Linked DNA regions of Neurospora crassa OR74A. Each later gene encodes a partner of the first gene's protein in a complex. Links are inferred from orthologs where the notes say so. Each region holds a gene or a part of one and is shown on either strand. Other genes may lie near its edges.

Region 1 (3,490 bases):
GGTCCTTGTCGATGGCCCCTCGTCCGACCCCAAGCTCGCTGCCCCCCGCGGCGTCGTTTCCCTCTCCAGAACCCTTCTCACCCCCCTCGTCGTCGAGAAGCTTCCCCGTGGTGCCCGCACTGGTGCCGTCAAGAAGGCCTGGGAGGCCGCTGGCATCGATGCCAAGTGGAAGGAGAGCAACTGGGCCAAGAAGCAGCTCCAGCAGGAGCGCCGCAAGGCCCTCACCGACTTCGACCGCTTCAAGGTTATGCGCCTCAAGAAGCAGCGCCGCTTCGAGGAGCGCAAGGCTCTCGCCAAGATCAAGGCCTCTGCTTAATTGATTTGGGATGATTAGATTTGGGAGCGTTTGGTCGGCATGGTTCTTGGGTGGAGGGTTTTTCGAAACGGTCTGCATGAACAACATCAGCATCAGGGTTGCTGGGATACCTCTCTGCGTCGCATTCGGAAGACCTCTTTTGTCACATCATCAGGGTGGCTTGCGGCGTCATAGGGAAAATGCGAATTAAGCCAAAAATGACCCCAAGGTCTATACCCCCTAAAAACCACCATTTCTTGGGTTTATCTGAGGAGCTGGAATCAATCAAAGCAAGCTGTGATGAACATATCCGAGCTCCGGACAGGGAAGACCAGATTGTGACCATTGCGCCCCGGTGACTTCGGATTTGGTGTGAAGTGATGGTATGGTTTGACTACGCGTCTGGCGCGGTTGGGACGGGCGACTTGTGGCAGCAGAGGTGGATGGAATGGACAGACAAGGGATACAACAACTTCTTGGTCACGGTTGGTTCCTGTTCGGCTGGCTGTGGGTTGTGGCACGCTATCCGCACGTGAAGCTGTATGTTGACGTTCTGACATCCACATAAAGATATGGGACTTGACATAATAGCACTCGATCCCATGTCAAGTTTGCTAGAGGGTAATCATGGCTTGCCATGGTCAACAACAGACGTTTCGAATTACTTTATGAACTTTTTACCATTGGGAAACTTCTGTGAAGCTGCTGGTGAAGATTGTTCGGCATCGTGAGTAGTTCGGACTTATACAACACACGACGCTATGAGTACATCTTGAAGATGACCTCACTGGTGATGGCCCCTGCCAAGACAAATCAAGAGGGCGAGTTACGCCCGGTAGATCCAGAGCAGAAATCTCCAACATCGGCCATTTTTTAGCATAGCGCAACCTTGAAGAACAAAATAATGCTTAAGCAGAAGTCAGTTACAATCCGCAATCACCAACCAACCAGAACAATCTCTACGTGAACAACTTGGACTACATAGTACATTGTCGTTGAGGGTAAATGTGGACATTGTTCATCAAGACCCTCTCTATACGCATATGGGGCTCCACAGTCTGGTCGGGTAGAAATTGAACTAGCATGATGATTAGGGTTACCGAGGGGTATCGGACAAAGGAGGTTCCTGGGCAAGCTGGGCAGTGGCTGCTGTGCCCGGTCGAGCGATCACACACCGGGGCCGGGGGCGTGCACGCACTTTTGGTGAATTTTGGATCCCGAACTTTTTCTCTCCCACCACGCCTTGCGACCCCTTCACAACCCCGCATATCAAACCTTAGCGGTATTTTCTCAACAATGTGAGTGCGACGAGGAGATGCACACTCGTGGTACCCGTCCTTTGCTCGGGCCCGTCGCCCCGGCACGATATTGCCATTTTTGCAGCTCAGAATGAGTGCAAAACAGGACGCATTTGAGCGGTGGTGTGTGTGCGATTGTGTGCGGGGCTAGAGAGCTGACCAGTCAATCCGCAACTAGCTATCAAAATGGCCGATCCCAGAGTTGAGGAGCTCCCCGAGGAGGAGGTTAAGAAGACCCAGGTCGAGGATCTCGACAACTCCAGCGATGACGAGTCCGATATCGAGGCTGGCGACTCCAGCCTTCCCGCTGGCTCCCAGGCCGTAATCCACTCCCGCAACGAGAAGAAGGCTCGCAAGGCCATTGAGAAGCTGCACCTCCAGCGCGTGCCCGGCATCACCCGCGTCACCCTCCGCCGCCCCAAGAACGTGAGTTGGGAACATTGGAAGAGCGACTGCTGGCACAGCACTCCTGCCGTCGTGGACAGCCCCGCGATTGGACAGCTTTGTGTTTCAAGGCGGAAGCTTGGAGCTCCCTTTCTGGTGGGGAACTACTATAGCTAACAGAGACGACCAGATTCTCTTCGTCATTAACAACCCTGAGGTTTACAAGTCTCCCAACAGCAACACCTACATGTGAGCTTGCCCGTCCGCTTCGTCGCGGTACCTCTCCGGTCACCTCGCCGGTTCAAAGACTAACCCTTGGGACAGCGTCTTCGGTGAGGCTAAGATTGAGGACCTCAACGCCTCTGCCCAGGCCGCCGCTGCCCAGCAGCTCGCCAGCCAGTCCGCTGAGCACGACCACGCCGGCCACACCCACGAGCACGAGGAGGCTGGCAAGGCCAAGGAGGAGGAAGAGGAGGATGAGGGTGAGGAGGTCGACGCCGAGGGTATTGAGGACAAGGACATCGAGCTTGTCATGACCCAGGCCAACGTCTCCCGCAAGAAGGCCATCAAGGCTCTCAAAGAGAACGACAACGATATCGTCAACTCCATCATGGCGTTGAGCATCTGAGTTGTCGTTAGGAGCCCTTGATTGACGTTAAAATATACCTCTTGGCCCACCAACCCCGCCGCCATACGGCTTCTATCGTGTCTTAGTACCATTGACTGCGAAGCTTCTCATCCTCGACGGCTTAGCGAATTGTTGAGTTCGACATGTATTCATATCATTAGGCCACCTTCTGTCCCTACCTTCTTGACAGCCGTGGATATAAAAGGTATCATGGTCCATTCGGTCGTAGTTTAAGCTCCACGGGAAATTGGAAGAGCTTCATCTTCATATGTGCAGATTTGATCTCCTCCTGATGAGACTTCACGGATTTTGTTGTGAAGAGTTTGCAACGTGGTGTGCTTTCACTTGAGGCATTCCATCCGGTACCTCCCCTCATCCGAGACAAAATAGATGAGACCAACAAACGGGTTAGGTAAACCAGTCCGCTACCGCTCGCCAAGATTCTTCCTCTAAAAATAAGGCCGTTGCAAGACTGTGATAGGGATTACAACAATTCAAAGTAGAGTCCCATTCAAATACTTCTATCCAAGAGTTGCCTAGAACCTAAGACCCGAGGTGTAATGAAGACGCTTGGATGCGTAGTAAGAGTATAACCAGGGTATAATATCGAAGATCTCAACTATTCTGTCTAGGACGAGCTTGGGCATTCCGGTACCTTCCGTGAGTATGAACACACTGAATGCGCACGGAAACGTCAGCTCCAGAGCGTCAGTGCCGTTTGTTCAGCGAGAAATTCAACTGGGCCACCAGACGAACTGTTATAGCTTCCATTCACTTGACAAATGCTCAATTTTCTGGCTTGGCGCAAAAGTTGTAAAGAACATCTTCGCCGTGAGTCGCGACCCGATCATCCCACTGGGGTAGAGTCACGTGACGGCTTCGCGA
Region 2 (3,776 bases), about 3.0 Mb from region 1:
TTGGTCTCGCCTGCAAACGCATACCTGTCCAGCGTCATCTTTCCCGCGTCTCAGTATTCTGCCGTGGCTTGTAGTCGGTGTTTCTCTTCTTCATCTGCTGATGGGGGGCGGATGGCACCCTTACTTGACACGAGCGTGAGCGCGAAGCTGGAGGCTGCAGGATATGTCTTTCGGGAGTTTAGGGTTGAGACGACGAAGATGGAGTTTGCATTTTCTAGGAGGGCTATACTCCCTCCAAATAATTCCTCCTCTAAAGATATGACGGACATGGCAGACGTCAAGGACACAAAGCCAAAGAAGCTCATAGCTAGCAACCTTGCGACATCATGGACGCTCAACGGCCCGCGCGATGGGGAGGGTTTGGTGGGTGGCGTGTTGCAGGGCCGGAAGCAGTTTGATTTACGGGGAGCGAGTCTGGTCTCTCGGCGGAAGATGTGGACTTTGGCGAGGGAGGTTTGTTCGATGATGGCGCTCAACGACGATGGCGAGATCAAGCGAGTCCTGGGAAGTACGAACCTTGTGTATGATGAGATCAAGGATGGAAGTAGCTTGCTTGAGGGGAGACGGAGGGCAAAGGAGGAGACGAAAAGGGTGGCGTTGAAAGGGTGGGTAAGGAATACTAGGGGTGGAAGCTTTAAACTTGAGTAAATCAAAGGAGTGTTGAGGAACGATTCAGAGAAGGATTGCTGGGAGATATGTGGTCACTATACAAAGCGTGAATGAGTGACATTTCACTTGCGCACTTGAATGCACAGCATGTCTCGTCTCCACATCATCTTTGTCTCGTTGTCATATGGGTCACGATTCCTGATTCGTACTTCTCTCCAATGTTGGTTCGAGAGGCCAAGAAGCTTTTTCCATTTTCCAGCGCTTGGTCAGTTGTTTGGTTTTGGTTATGTACATCGTTTTGATGTAGAATGCGTTGTTCCTATAACCATCATTTCAACCGCAGTCTTTCTCTGGAAGAGTCCAGGAGCAAACCGAGATGGACGAAGACAATTAAACACGTCTTTCCGCCTCGTTGCCACATGTACCAAGTAACATCCTTTCTCTTTGAGCTGGAAGATGACATCAACATTGCCGCCCGAAGAGCATTTCCCAGCTTCACATAGATTCATAAGCCATCATGAGAAGACATTGAACAACTAAAGGACGGGTTGAAGAGACCCCGTGATTTCCCCAACGCAGCACGCCATGATAAATGTCACCGCAAATCTGAAGATAGGAAAGACCGCGTTTTGGGGGAATCAAACAGAGAGAGGGAGTATTTTATTTTTTTGTAATTTACTCGACCTTGCTCTCGAAGTTCTCGCCGGCAACGAGATCGGGGATATCATCCTCCTCAGCGTCCTTCTCGTTCTTCTGCATGTTCTGGTAGCTCTCGGCAAGCTTGCGGAGGGAAGCGAGAGAGTCGGGGCCGAGCTGGTTAAGGATACCGGGGACGAGCTCAGTGAGCTCCTTGTCCTCACCGTTGCCGTAGATGGCGAAAGTGTTGGCAGGGACAGCGGCGTGAACTGTGGTACAAGAAACACAACTTGTTAGCAGACAAGCCCCCAACCAACGTTTGAAGCTTAGCTGTCGCGATATGTCAAGAGGCCGCCTGACTAAGTAGGCCATAACACTCTTGCATACTGGCGATTTTGGACCAAGCCCAGTCAAGGGGGGTCCATATCGCGAAATTGAAACTGGGCGTATTGGTACGTACCCTTAGGGGCGGCGAAGTGGATGACGTTGCCGTCGCTCTTGAACATGTTCACCTCCTCGATGGCCTGGATGGGCTGAACATTGACCTTCTTGAGGGTGGCCTGGAGCTTCTTGTCATCGCCAGCGGAGCGGGCAGGCGCTCTCTTGACCTTTCTGCGGGGAGTACCCTTGCCACTATTTCATTTCGAAAAAAAAGTCCATTGTCAGAAATCAAAAGCCTCTCATTTTGTCTGCATCTGCACGTTGCTCATCGCCTTTCGCTGGGCTCGCGGGGGGAGGTTTTTTGTGTGGGAGACAATCGAGGGCGCGCGCGCGAAAGAATGGAGGGGTAATTCGGTGCTGGCTCGTTTTTTTGTGCGTGTTGTGTGCGAGAGCGATTGACGAGTGATATTTGAATTTCTACATACCCTAAAGCGGAGGGAAAGCACCTTTGTTAGCCTGTCGAACAGAACCTCATCCTACAGAGCGAAAACATGGGCGACGACATACCGATACGGGCCGAGGCGCCCAGCTTCTTCAAACGCTCCTGAACATCCGACATTTTTGCTGGCGGTTTGTTTGGTGATGAGAGGATGTGAGATTGATCTGTTGTGGGGAAAAAGCGAAAGGTGCGGGAGATCTCGGTGAACCTTAGAGCTCAGGGTTAGTTTGGCGCTGGGACCTCATCAAGGACCTGTGGGCGGTAGTGTGGGCTCTGGGCTTTGCGGGCTGGGGGGTTCATGCTGCTGGCTGAGAAGAGGGGTGATGTGTGAGCGTCGCGCGGCGGTGCTGGATGGGCAGTTGGCCCGTGCATACTTAAAATCTTGTCCTTCAAGAAACTTTCCACATACCTACACCCCCGCCGCCATGTTAAGCTTATACGGCATGGTTCGAAACGGTTAGGTAAACAACCCTACTACAGTCACCGGGAGTTACCTTTAATCTATATAGTGTTGATATTGAGCTTCATCCTCATCTGCTTTCGGAAGTTGAGGAATAGGTCTTGTACGCCGGGCCTCGTATGTCCAGCTAGCGGAACCACATCAAAATTCTACCCCACCTGCTTTGGTGCTCACCTTGACTTGTTTCCTGCTTACCGCGAAAGTAAACTCGCCTCACCTTGGGACTTGACATCATCGTCTGTTATGAGGTCCCTCATAGGATGATATCTGCCAACGTAGTTGTACATGGGACAGCTCGCTTCACTACATAGTTTAGGTTGGATGATGGTCCTATACCCTCCATTTCTGAAAAGCGAAGCAGCAAACAGTCTTTCCAGAGAACATCGTGATATTGCACAACTTCGAGACCATGGGACTTTGGAACCAAAAGCTAATCATCTCCGTCCTAAAAACCCAAGACCCTTTTGAACGCCTTCTCTTTCAATACCCATCTTAGAATACACAGTAGTTTTGTACAGAATCATGATGTTACAACCCAAACCGCCTACGTATGACCACTTCCCAACGTAAAGCTAGCCTAACCACTACTTCTCAAGCGGAAGACCGGCCTCACGCCTCATAGCCTCTTTCCTAGCCTTCACCTCATCCGCCAATGCCAGACTCTTCTGCACCGACGCCCGCTGCTGTCTCTCTTTTTCCTCGGCCTCGGCCTGAACCGTCCAGACTAGAAAAGTCAAAGTTAGCACGCTACTCATCTCACTTATCTCCATCTTCATCTTGCTTTGCCCATTCCCATCCCTCTTTCTTCCTATCCACATCCGCAAACAAATCCCCACCTCTATCCATCTCCTCCTCCATCCCAACAAAAACTCCAACAGAATTGCCAACAGACGGACAAAAAGGGACAGAGGGAAGAAAGCTTACTTGGCTTATCAGACTTGGAGTACTCCTTCAACTTGGTGACAAAGTCGTCAAACTCCTGCTGACGCTCGAACCGCCTCTCCAGACTCCTCTTCTGCAGCTCCGGGTTATACTTTTGGAAGAGCTCCTCGTCTGTCGGGGTGAGCCAGTAGGTGAATGCAGGACCGCCGACGCAGATTGCTGCTCCACTGTTTGTTTGGGCCAACAAGAGTTTGTTAGATCTCTCTTCTTCTTGAATTTGGACTTGTGAGATGTAAGAGGAGGTGGGGG

What was found.
Region 2: NCU00635 (region 1) and NCU03148 share a complex: the UniProt entries of both Saccharomyces cerevisiae proteins name them as parts of the nascent polypeptide-associated complex. The link is inferred for Neurospora crassa OR74A from reciprocal best matches to the Saccharomyces cerevisiae genes EGD2 and EGD1.

The regions. Positions count from the first base shown.
Region 1 is NC_026501.1:7,743,864-7,747,353, reverse strand, and holds NCU00635 (nascent polypeptide-associated complex subunit alpha), read left to right. Parts: upstream 1-1,425; 5' UTR 1,426-1,593; intron 1,594-1,771; 5' UTR 1,772-1,779; coding exon 1,780-2,019; intron 2,020-2,167; coding exon 2,168-2,226; intron 2,227-2,301; coding exon 2,302-2,605; 3' UTR 2,606-2,937; downstream 2,938-3,490. Other genes in the region: NCU00634 (60S ribosomal protein L14), read left to right, coding at 2-316. UniProt on the Saccharomyces cerevisiae protein: Component of the nascent polypeptide-associated complex (NAC), a dynamic component of the ribosomal exit tunnel, protecting the emerging polypeptides from interaction with other cytoplasmic proteins to ensure appropriate nascent protein targeting.
Region 2 is NC_026501.1:4,724,908-4,728,683, reverse strand, and holds NCU03148 (nascent polypeptide-associated complex beta subunit), read right to left. Parts: upstream 2,359-3,776; 5' UTR 2,246-2,358; coding exon 2,190-2,245; intron 1,879-2,189; coding exon 1,706-1,878; intron 1,515-1,705; coding exon 1,285-1,514; 3' UTR 813-1,284; downstream 1-812. Other genes in the region: NCU03149 (tRNA-specific adenosine deaminase, variant), read left to right, coding at 1-648; NCU03147 (assembly factor cbp-4), read right to left, coding at 3,170-3,309, 3,510-3,694. UniProt on the Saccharomyces cerevisiae protein: Component of the nascent polypeptide-associated complex (NAC), a dynamic component of the ribosomal exit tunnel, protecting the emerging polypeptides from interaction with other cytoplasmic proteins to ensure appropriate nascent protein targeting.